3 linked regions of the Ovis aries genome follow. The main gene of each other region encodes a partner of the protein of the gene in region 2 in a complex. Links are inferred from orthologs where the notes say so. Each region holds a gene or a part of one and is shown on either strand. Other genes may lie near its edges.

Evidence for each region.
Region 1: SRSF1 (region 2) and PA2G4 share a complex: the UniProt entries of both Homo sapiens proteins name them as parts of the ribonucleoprotein complex. The link is inferred for Ovis aries from reciprocal best matches to the Homo sapiens genes SRSF1 and PA2G4.
Region 3: SRSF1 (region 2) and DDX5 share a complex: the UniProt entries of both Homo sapiens proteins name them as parts of the ribonucleoprotein complex. The link is inferred for Ovis aries from reciprocal best matches to the Homo sapiens genes SRSF1 and DDX5.

The regions. Positions count from the first base shown.
Region 1 is NC_056056.1:163,426,905-163,430,435, forward strand, and holds part of PA2G4 (proliferation-associated protein 2G4), read right to left. Parts: coding exon 3,463-3,531; intron 2,013-3,462; coding exon 1,949-2,012; intron 1,709-1,948; coding exon 1,630-1,708; intron 1,482-1,629; coding exon 1,403-1,481; intron 1,319-1,402; coding exon 1,185-1,318; intron 888-1,184; coding exon 793-887; intron 690-792; coding exon 562-689; intron 407-561; coding exon 353-406; intron 143-352; coding exon 77-142; 3' UTR 1-76. UniProt on the Homo sapiens protein: May play a role in a ERBB3-regulated signal transduction pathway. Seems be involved in growth regulation. Acts a corepressor of the androgen receptor (AR) and is regulated by the ERBB3 ligand neuregulin-1/heregulin (HRG).
Region 2 is NC_056064.1:8,495,244-8,499,366, forward strand, and holds the start of SRSF1 (serine/arginine-rich splicing factor 1), read right to left. Parts: upstream 2,803-4,123; 5' UTR 2,694-2,802; coding exon 2,500-2,693; intron 2,087-2,499; coding exon 1,902-2,086; intron 1,537-1,901; coding exon 1,364-1,536; intron 1,161-1,363; coding exon 966-1,160; 3' UTR 1-965. UniProt on the Homo sapiens protein: Plays a role in preventing exon skipping, ensuring the accuracy of splicing and regulating alternative splicing.
Region 3 is NC_056064.1:48,409,309-48,413,445, forward strand, and holds the start of DDX5 (probable ATP-dependent RNA helicase DDX5), read right to left. Parts: upstream 2,825-4,137; 5' UTR 2,655-2,824; coding exon 2,611-2,654; intron 1,432-2,610; coding exon 1,266-1,431; intron 1,083-1,265; coding exon 986-1,082; intron 902-985; coding exon 768-901; intron 651-767; coding exon 585-650; intron 348-584; coding exon 206-347; intron 122-205; coding exon 1-121. Other genes in the region: CEP95 (centrosomal protein of 95 kDa), read left to right, coding at 3,692-3,710. UniProt on the Homo sapiens protein: Involved in the alternative regulation of pre-mRNA splicing; its RNA helicase activity is necessary for increasing tau exon 10 inclusion and occurs in a RBM4-dependent manner. Binds to the tau pre-mRNA in the stem-loop region downstream of exon 10.

The sequences.
Region 1 (3,531 bases), on a different chromosome or scaffold from region 2:
CTGCACTTCACAGAGCCTGGGGTGTGGCGGGAAGGGGATGAGGCAGGAGTGGCAAGCTGGGGGGACGGGACCCACCTCAGTCCCCAGCTTCATTCTCTTCTAAAGTTTCCCCACTGGTAGCATTCTCTGCAGTCTTAGAGGCCTACATTCATGGAAAGGAGAGAAGATGTGTCAGTTTCCAACAACTTAGGGTACTGTCTGGGGGACCAAGGACAAGAGTATTCCTAATTCTCTAGGTCAGGGCTGAGAGGAGAAATAAGGACATATCGACACCTATATCCCCACCAAGACCCAGGAAAGTGAATAAAGATGATCAGGTTCACCCCACCAGGGAGGGATGATCATAACAAACCTTCTTTTTTTTCTTTTTCTGGGTTTTCCGACTTGCAGAACTCTGGAGGAGCGCCTGCAAAACAGAAGAAAGTGAACAAATTTTGAGGAACATGGAGCAAATGCCAAGTGCTACTCTCGGCATTGCAGCTCTTCTCAGGACTTCCCATCACTCAGTCCTCACTCCCAGAAAAAGTGCCATGTCCCTGCTCCTTTCCATCACACACTAACCTTGAGCTCTGCATCCTGGACCTCCATCTCGGACTTGTAAAGGTCAGGCTCAAAAGGACCACTGGTTATCCGCATAGGGCCATTGGGCATAAGCAGAACTGTAAATTTAAACTGGGCAACAAATTCACCTATGAGAGAAACAAAGTGTTTTGATAGAATGTCCCCTTGCCTTCAAGGAGAAGGGGACCATAATCGGAGGCTTCAAACTACAACTCTCTTCTCAGAACTCACCCTCCTTCTCATAGAGAACATTAAATGGTTGTAGCAGTTCATGTTTGGCGCACTCCACCACACCCATGCGGGCCTTCTTCTCATCTTCAAATGCTCTGGGGAGGGGAAGACAAATTCAGGTATCCTTAACTCCCTGTCATGTTTTACCACTTTGTTCCTGTTTTTAAATAACTCCTACCCTCAGGCAGAAATCATGCGTAGGATTGCTTTTTGTTTACACTACTTCCTATGAGAGGGAGAAACAGAGAAGGCATGCATGCAGGCTGGAGCTACAAGTCTAGGTAGAAGAGGAGGGAAAGAGGGCAAGCAGGGTAGGGGAAGGAAAGAGATCTGGCTGTATGGTCTACGGGTCAGACTGTTCCAAGTCCTGTCCTCGCTAAGTGCAGTAGTACCTTAAAGTAAAGGGCATGGCATCAAAACGCCTTTCAACCTCACTGAAGAAGGCACGGGAAGTTTTCATTTTCAGGCCATACTGCTTAGAGGGGTCTCTCTTGTAAATGGTGGTTCTCTGTCCTGCATCCTTGGCCTATAAAACATCATATTTGATCTGGTGCTCTTGGAACCCACCCCCAGCCTCCCCTCTCTGCCGGATCTGGTAAACATTCATCACCTTGCCCTCTCCTGAGCTGACGAGAACATCCACAGCATATACTTCATGTACCTCAAATTCTGCTTTTTCATGGTCTTTCCTAAAAGAACAGAAAGGGAACAATAAGGAGCAATAAGTGGTTCCTGGAGCTTAGAAGAGAAGGTGGATAAGATTAGCCTGGAGTATGGAAGAACTTCGTAACTAGTCTTATATGACAGAAGGTAGACAGTGGGATACAGGGCACCTACTTCTGCTGGTCTGTGGGATTCTGGATAATGGTTTTCTCTCCATCAATGACATGCTGCTTCAACTGGTGTGACAGCATACCTGTAGAGGACAAAGCCTGTGGCACCACTCATCTAGAATCCCCAAAGGTTTCCAACCCACCTACCCAAGTAGAGCCACGGAGCAGGCAATGAGAGCAAAGTGCCCAGCTATGGAAACGGGGCACTGAGGTTTGCGGCTTGGATTATGCCAGAGCCAGGGTGGATGCTCAAGGGAACAAAAGTCTTAATTCTGCTAAACCACTCATACTGAGACCCTCAACCCCACTATCTGAAGTCTCACCTTCTATTGGTGTGCAATTAAATGAGTGGGCAACTTTGTTCCAGGCTTCTGTCACTTGTGTGTTCTAGAAGTACAAGATCAAATAAAACGTAAAATACCAGGAGCTAGTAAGTTGTCTACTATGAGAAGCAGCAGCATAAAGAACTGAGTTCTAATATCCTCCAGCAAATGCAATGATTCTCAGTAATTTTTCATTTCATAGCCCTAGCATCTTACAACCTAGAAATCAAATTTGCATACCATTTTACAAAGCACTATCACAAAGATGGTCTGCTTAGACAACAATTCTGTAAGGTGACTAGTGCCAACAATTCTGTATGGTAATCTACATCCTAATTTGGAGGAGGAAACTGAGGCTCAGAAGGGTTATATGATTTGCTCAAGGTTAAACCAGTTAACCAAAAGAACCTGGTATAAACTCAGGTTTTCGGATCACAGTGTTTAGTCCATGATACCTGGCATTCTAACCTGTTGAAAGGGTACAGAAAGTTTTATTTTGTCCTCTTTACCTCTTTCAATCATGAGCTGATCCTCACCTAAATTATAGTTAAGAGAAAAAGAAAAGTGAATTTCCAATCATAGCTATTATTAAACTACATGTCAGGTACTGTGATAATCACTTTATATGGATCATCTCAATCTTCACAACCCTGTGAGAATGAGGCACAATTTAATTTTTCCCACTTTACAGATGAGGAAATTTTGAAGTTATTTCATTTTAAATCAGTAGTGGGTGGTAATGGGATGAGAATCCAGAAAGTCTCAGGTCATAGCTAGACAACAGCCACTACATTAATAGTATCTTATAGTAAGCATATAAATAATAAAAATAATCAATATGTAAAATATTAATAGCTAACAAAAGGGTTAACTCTGTGCCAGGTACTATTCAAAGTGCTTTATAATAGCTCTTTGATAGATACCACTGCAAGAAAACTACAACAGAGGCTGAAGTAAAAACGATGCAATTAAGTGATAATGGGGACAAACGGATAAAAAGGGTGAAGAGCACAGAGAAAGAGGATGCTTTATGTATTGAACAGGTTCTGAAATCTAAGTGTTAGACAAAGTCTCCACTAGTAGTCTAACATGTTATTGTATGAATTCATGAGAAATTTATGATCCCTGGACGTCCTAATATTGTCTTGGAAGGGTCTTTGGCCTTTCTTTGCCACAAATTTACTGGTACTATTATTATTTTTGTGTTATAAGCTTTTAAAACTTAGTTTCAATATCTGTGTTTTATTGTGAGCTATCTATCTCAAATTATTTCCAGGAACAATACACATCCAAAACATGAAAAAGGAAGGATCTCTATAGGCTCCATAAGAAAAGGAGCACCCATCATCCCCTTACAGTGAGCATCATACCACCTAAGGTAGGCACTAAGATTTAACATCTCTTCGGTTTAAACTCTTTTAGTTCCTGCCTCTTCTCTTTCAGTATAGAATAGCAGTACATCCTGAACGCACCTTTGGCTCTATCAAGCTTTGGACTTGGACTAAACAGCTCACCTGATTTCCAGGTTTGACCAGGCGTAGGGCAGCTTCAGCACAAAGGTGAGCTGCCTTAATGACATCTGC
Region 2 (4,123 bases):
ATTCCCAACTAGATTATCTACACCAATATGTTGGAATTCTATATTTTGCTTTCATTTTGTCTTTAAAAAATGAAGTAGCAACGCTATATCAGTCACACAGAGGACATGCAGATTTAGCAGTATTGATATTATACTCTATCTGGTTGGAATTAAAGACACCCTGTACCCACATGTACACCAACAGCAGGTCACACATTAACAGTTGTAACTAAGCATTATGACAAATTAGCCAGTTCTTCCCACATTAGTCCCTATTAAAATAAAAAAGGGAAGGGAGCAAAATAGTTACAAAATGGGCAATGTAATTTTGCCACAATTGCCAAGGTTTAAAGAGCAAAGCAATTGTAGCTAAAGGTAACTGCATTAAGATGCTTACAAGTGTTTTATGGTAGATGTATACATAATCAATTTAAACCCTTGCCTTTAGTATAAGGTCAATACTGCCAATTTCATCTGTGACAATAGCACTTGGAGTCATACCATTGCCTCCATTATTGATCTGATCCTCCTCAATCCTCCTTTTGACAATCCTAAAATGATTGAAATGTGCTCCACAATCCTTAATCCAAAGCATTCTTAATCCATCTCTTCAGATATGTCTACAGAAAGACACATGAAAAGCAAGATAAACATAAGAACTTCCCCAGGTAAGATAACCACAAACACCCCCAACATCCCAGTTCACACAAACCAGAGCAGAATAGACATTTACACAATATCACAGTCTGAAGAGCATGGAGAGTTAACTAAATTTAAACAATCCTGGCTATGACATCACTTAAAATACAATTTATCGACATGAGGGGAATGTAGATGTTAGGAGCAAGGGGTATTACACAAGAATGCAATTCAACACTTTAGCCCATTCTGAACAAAACAGTTTGAATTAAAAAATGAAAAGATTGTACTGAATAAAGGAAAACTGTATACAACATGGGTTCTACAAAAAAGTGTCACCAATCATCTTATGTACGAGAGCGAGATCTGCTATGACGGGGAGAATAGCGTGGTGATCCTCTGCTTCTCCTTGGGGAATAACTTCGACTCCTGCTGTTGCTTCTGCTACGGCTTCTGCTACGACTACGGCTTCGAGATCGAGATCTTCCATAACTTGGACTTCTGGGCCCATCAACTTTAACCCGGATGTAGGCAGTTTCTCCCTATTGAATAGACAGAACTTTCGATTGAAAGATCTAAGTTTTCACCTGTCTTCAGGCATGCTGAATGAATACAACGTAATTTAAACCAGAGGCACTTTACTGGGTTTACTTGGACACCCTTGCCTGAATCTTACCTTCAAATTCCACAGTTAAGACCACTGTATCCAATTCTGGCCAATAAAAAGAATAAGTGTATAACCTACCTCATGAGATCTAAACTTAGTGTTATCCAGTTTTCGAACTGCATAGGTCATATCTTCTTTCCGTACAAACTCCACGACACCAGTGCCATCTCGGTAAACATCAGCATAACATACATCACCTGCTTCACGCATGTGATCCTTTAAATCCTGCCAGCTTCCACTTGGAGGCAGTCCTGAAAAAGAGTTTTTTTCAACAATTATCCTAGTATTTCACATTAAAGTTAAAATTTACATTAGAACCAAGACTACTTTAAAATTAATGATTAGTTTTAACATCCTAGGTTAATGATTCAAAATTCTAGAATTAAAAGCCCCAAATTATTTACAAAGTAATGATCTTCATATTCTAGACACTGCAATCTAATTCGTTAAATCTCAAATACAGTAATTCCTGGTTACTAAATTCATCCATGCGACTGAAATAATTTAAAGACCTACCATGAAAGCTAGCATTTGTCAAACTACGCATGCAAGGAAAACTTTAAAGTGTAGGATCTGTCCAAAAGTGACATCGACCCGCGCGGAACGGTCAACTTACCAGAGACAACCACTCTGTTTTCAGAACGCCTGGATGGGGGGCCATAGCGGCCCCGGGGAGCCCCGCCACCTCCACCCCCGCCGCCGCCTCGGCCTGTACCACGGCCACTTCGAGGAAACTCCACCCGCAGACGATATCCATCGTAATCATAGCCGTCGCGACCGTACACCGCGTCTTCCGCATCCCTGCGTGATTACAGAAAGCCGAAGGGTAAGAAAAAGGGCCGGGAGGGGTGGCCACCTCCGTCGGGGAGCCAGCAGCGCCCCGCACATGCGCACCCGGGGTGGAAGAGCCCACATGCGCCGCATAATAGGGACGGCCCCTCCCCCACCCAGAAGCACGCCAGGCTCCCGACCACTACAGCAGCCCTCAGCGCCTCAGTTTCCCGCTCCGAGCCCGCGAGCCGGCTCCGGAGACGCCCGGGGGACCCAGTCACCAGGGAAGCCTCACCGACTCGGCTCCTCACTTCACTCGTGCGCGGCCGACTCGTCTTGCTCCCAACCTCAGAGCCCACGTCCCCATTCTCTCTAAGGCCTTGGAGCACTCCCCAACTACTCCAACCTATATCCTCAAGGCCGCAAGTCCCTGGCCGCCTCACCGCGGGTCCTCGAACTCAACGAAGGCGAAGGGCGGTCCTCCGCGGCGATTCTTCAGGTCGATGTCGCGGATAGCACCGTATTTGTAGAACACGTCCTCAATGTCCTTGGTTCGGATGTCTGGAGGTAAGTTCCCTACGTAGATGCGGCAGTCGTTGTTCCCTGCCGGGCCACGAATCACACCACCTCCCGACATGGCGGCGACGAAAAGCGCGGACTCGAGAACAGGCCTTCCCACCAAGCCTAGCGAACGGCAGAGCGAGCCCGCCGCGACACCACGTCTCCCGCGGCCCCTCCAAAATGGCGCCTTTATCAGCTCGGCGCACGGATATGGGGGGGAGGGAAGAAGAGAAGCGGGAGGAAGCAGCTATTCGATCTCACTGCGCACGCGCAAGAGCGTAACGGGTGTGCAGCGAAAGGGACGCTGGCGCACGCGCGACGTCACCCTCCGCGCGAAGGGAAAAAAGTTCCCGCGTTCCCGTGGTGCCGAGAGCTTTGCAAAGGAAGTGACCGGCCCTGTGGTAAAGATTTAGGGCAGAGCCCTTGTAAAAGAGGGTTATTAATCTTGTCGAGTCCTAAAGAATAATCAGTTTCCCCAGGAATAAGTCTCTTAAAGCAAAGGCGCTTTGGAAGGATTTAGTGAAACCTAGCCTATAGCTTTATCCCACAATGCTCTGCGGGGTTAACGGCCTTGGGCGGGAAAGACGCCCCCGGGGGCGGAGTCAATGGGGGAGGGACTGGGCGGTTGCTCCGGAAACGGGCGCGTCTTAGGAGACTGCGCCCAGTCCGGGAGTCGGCGTTGTCTGTGATTCTGTGCAGAGGCAAGCCATCACTGTGTTTCCGCCTCGTCTCCTGTGAACCTGTGCGCTGCCTAGACGACTGTGTAATATAGGGGAGCCGAGCTTAGATTCCTTAGATTCTACATCAAGTACCGTTCTACCTTCGGTTCAGCACCAAGCTTTGTATATATTTAATAACTACATTCAACACTGCTTGTGTTTGTTAGTGGCGGCGATTCCTGCTCTGACCAATCGTTGGTGGTACCAACCGGGACCCAGATCTCTCTCTTTTTTCATCGCCTATTACTAGGCCCAACGCAGCGGAAAGGTGCATTGAAGGCTGCAGAATGAATGGTGCCTGTTACTTCTCCATCCTTTTTCAAAGAACGAGAAAAAACACACGCGCCTGCGTGTGTGTATGCAGAATCCTGAAGTTCCTTGTTTTGAACTCATTAGCAGGCCTCTCAAGTAATATAAATGAGCCCAATGAACTTGTGAGAACTGCTGTGGCCGCTGGAGACCACAGTTGCTGCTCAAGACTGATCTGCTAGTCAGGTCCAGGGAGATTAGAACTTCTACATTTTTTCCTATAGAGATATCTATTTGAAATCTGGTTTTTTATATGAAATGCTGGAACTTTACATTATTAGTGATGAATTCAAATTAAAACAACAAACCTGCAGTCATAAATATGCTAAAACAGCTAGCTCTGCACCCTAAGGGTAAGGATGATTTTCTTCAGTTTATGTATGTATTTGTAATAGTCCCTCTCCTCAGGGCTGTAAGGCAGTTTTATAAAGATACTATAAAACGTTATTAAAACTAGGTGGAGAAATCTAGGTGCCTT
Region 3 (4,137 bases), about 40 Mb from region 2:
CCCATATCAAGCATTCTATCTGCTTCATCAAGGACAAGGTAGGTGGTTCTTCTTAGATTGGTTTTCCCACATTCTAAAAAGTCTATCAGTCTTCCAGGTGTTGCAATACAGATTTCCACACCTTTAATTAAACACACAAAAGTTACCATGACATCCAGAACTTCCTGCATGATCAGTGACAAATAAAACCTTTTTGGTTACATACCTCTCTCCAAATCACGTATTTGTGGTCCCTTGGGAGCACCACCATAAATGCAAGTAGACTTCAAGCGACATGCTCTACAGTATTCAGCAGCTACTTGCTGCACCTGTTGGGCCAGTTCCCGAGTAGGTGCCAGCACCAAGCACTAAGGAAAGAGAAAGTGGAACACCTTTAGGAGACCCCTGAATTCTAGTTTTGAAGTGCTAATTTACTGTTGCTACACTAGCAGATGATATACATTGTCAATACCCAAAGCAGCTTTGTCCCTTCCTACACTGAAAAACATAACCTTCCATATAAAACCACCAGAATTTTCTTTTGCTGTATATTCTACAAATCTCTACGCTGTTAACCAAGTTAAGAGAATACAATGTACACTTACAATAGGCCCATCACCTCTCTCTAGGAATGGTTGATGATTGATGTGGACAATGGCAGGCAGCAAATACTATACAAAAGAAAAGCAAACAAAAAAAGCCATATTAAAAACACTTCTGGTTTCTTTTAATTCCCAACCCATTTTTCTTCAGGACCTGTCACCTAACTCAAAGTTTCCCAAACTTACAGACAAAGTCTTCCCAGATCCAGTTTGTGCTACCCCAACCATATCCAATCCACTCAGAGCAACCGGCCATCCCTGAGCTTGAATAGCTGTGGGTTCAGTGAAGTTCTGCCTTGCAATCACATCCATGACATTTGCTGTAATGTTAAGAATTAAGTAAACGTCAATAATGCCATGAGAAAGGGATTTTTTTTTTTAAGGTGGGGAAAACTAGCACTTACCAGGGAAGTTTGCCTCATAAAAATTCAGGACTGGCTTTGGGCAGTTATGACCTCTAACTGTAATTTCCTTGCTTCTTCTGTATGTCTCCACCTCTTGCTACAAAAGAAATTTATAAAATTCAGTTATCTCACGAGGACTCCCCCTAACTAAACACACGACCAACACACCCCTAAGTTAATAATTATCAACATTAACATTCCTTTAAGTTTGCAAGACATTTCTAGTCAAACTTAAATGTCACTGAGTTACAAGCTGAAAAAACCACATGAAATTACTCACTGCTGTACGCCTAGCCAAATCGGGGTGTTCTTGATAAAAATTCTTCTCAAACTTGGGCAGCTCATCAAGATTCCACTTCTTTTTAACCAGTTTCTCTCCAGGGTTTCCAAACTTCTTTCCAGATAAGGGCCCTGCCCTACTACCTCCAAATCGAGGAGCACCAAACCTAAAATTTGAGGGGAAAAAAAATTGCATTTTCAAACATGTACAGACTTATTTTACCATCCCTGCGCACATGCTAAAACTCAATGAAAGATTCTGGAGATGCAAGTGCTGTCCTCAGTGATGGTCATTCTTTCAAAAGCCAGTTAGTACTACATCTCCCTCATTTCCCGTTACACGAAGTACACACCATTGAAAACAAATCAACAGCCCGGGATTTACTAGGTTGGAAACTGGCTGGCCAAGCTCTAGGAGTTCAGATACAAGGACAAACAACAGCTGGTGGATACTACTCTTTCACACAAGCGAAAGAATTAAATGCCAAAAAAAAATAAAGCAGAAGCTTAACACAGATGTTACTTAGCACCTGTCCTGAACCAAGAGCTCTGATTTTAATAGGTAGCGGAACAACACAGGTAAGTGAGTGCAGAACACGGCGGGTGGCTCGGGGACAGTTAGGCAAGCCAATCGAGTTGGGGGGATCCCTCAAAACGGTTTCCTACCAAGGTAGCAAAATTATATAACGAAAGGAAAACGAGGAGGAGGAGCCGGAGACTACCGGGGGAGGAGTCCCGGCCCGGGCGGAGTCCTTCGGGCGGCGTTCCCGCTGGGGCGGCGCTTCCCCCTTTGTCTCGCATTTCTCTCTGCGCCACATTTTCTCGACGCTGCCATTTTGAGCTCCTCCGCCGGGCGGGGTAACAAAGGCGCCGCCGCCATGTCCGCCGCCGGCATTTTGTACCCACGGCTCGGCCACATGGCCGATTCCCGCGGCACCGGCCACCCTCCAACCCTCGCCGCATTAACGGCTTCGGAGGCGGCCCCCTCGGCACCCACAGAACCCCCAGATTCCTTAAAATTCCTGTAAGCTTACACCTAATAGTGGCGACTTCGCCTCAAAGCGCTGCGCTTTCCTCCCCTCAAAAAATGTGCTCGAAATTCTCCGAACAGTTGCCAAATCATCAAGGCCCCGATACCCCCTCCAAAACAAAAAAGAATCTTGAGGACCGTTAACATGAAAAGTCCAGGTTTGGACAAATAACAAAATGGCGCAAGCCCTTTTCGATGGCGGAGGCCCGAGAATAGTCTTTAGAAGCCGAGTTGCCCCCGCCACCCCACCCCCGCAACCCTCATCGGTCTCCCATCCCCCACCCGCCGGGCCTGACAGGTCGGTTCCCACACTCACCCTCGATCCCGGCCACGGTCTCGGTCACTCGAATAACCCGACATGGCGTCAATGGTTGCGGTTGGCGGGAAGCGAAGCGGAGAGAATCGGGTGCGACGAGTCGCTGGAGGTGGCTCCGGCGACGGCAAAGCCTTGCGGGGGCGGCAGCGGCGGAGGGACGACGATGACAGAAGCCAAGGCTGCCCAACAAGAGACCGGTGGAAATGAATGAGGTGCCGGCCGCGTCCCGGCAGCCGGTTTTATAGCCTGGCCCGCCTCCTCCGCCGCAGAGAATGCTGGGAGCCGCTCTATGACCTAATCACTCCGCCCCTGCGCAGAGCTATTAACGCCTGCCGGCGTTCCGGGATCCGCCATTTTCTCGCCCCTCCCCCCGGGCCCTTTGCCGACTTTTCGCCCCTTTCAAGGATAGGACCCGCCCCCACCCCGCGGTCCTCCACTGGGATGCCTAAGCCTGCACTCTCTTGACTTCACCTTTTTCTGGTCTTTCACACTTCAGGGAAACCACTGCGCCCTTTTCCAGGTCTAGCCCAGACAATAAAATGTCCAGCCCAGGTCAACTCCCTCGGTCCCCTTGAAGATGTTTACGTCTCCAAAGAGCCTTTACACCCATTACTAGGGGCGACAGGAAGGCGGAGCCTGACATTGTCACGTGGCTGCCCCGCCCGCCGAGTGAGCGGGACGCACTACTTCCCCAGTTGGCGTCGGCGGAGGAGTACAAGACGAAATAGCTCACCGGAAGTGCCGTGCTAATGCCCTCGGGAAATCGGCCGGGGCTGTTGGGCGACCCGAACTGTCAAACCCACCCACCCCAGGACCCCTGAGCGGGGTCTGGCTGGTGAAAAATGGTATCTAGAGTTCGCAAACCGCCACCTCGGCACGTGCCGCCAAAGGAAGTACTCCCGCGGTGACCAATCAGCAGCGAGAAGCCGTTTTAACGTCCCTCCCTCCTTCACCGCACCCCTTCCCGGCACTTTCGTTTGCTTCCTCTCCTGTCAGCCCTGGGTCTGCGCCGTGCGGCCCTTTCAGGACGCCGTCCCGCGCGCGCCCGGCTAGGAGTCCGGCGGCGACTTGCCTCCGCGACATGGCCGGCTCAGAGGCTGGTGAGTCTCTGCGTGGAGCCCCGTTTGTGTGTGGGCTCAAGTACCTTTTCAGTCCAAGTCCTGAACGCCCCTCCCCATCTTATCTTGAGGCTTCGGGTGGGTGTGGGCTGCCGGCGGGGCTCGTGAGACAACCCGGTCGTAGTTGGCGGGTTCTCTGGCTGGGGCTTCTTAGTCCCGCTCCCTGGCGCATTCGAAGTTGTCGAGCCTGATTTGGGGCGGGGAGACAAGGGCCCTGCGGCGAGGCCCGCAGCACGCGAGCATGGTGGCTGTAAATGATCAGAAAGTGTCTTTCCCTAGACTAGTATTTTCTAGGGAGTGTGCCCTCTGCTCCTGCACTGCGGAGCCTGAGGCTGAGTATTAGCACTCTAAAAATCTATTGTCATCCCAAAGCGGAATAGTGGTGGATTTTCCCGCTTCAGAGCTTCCT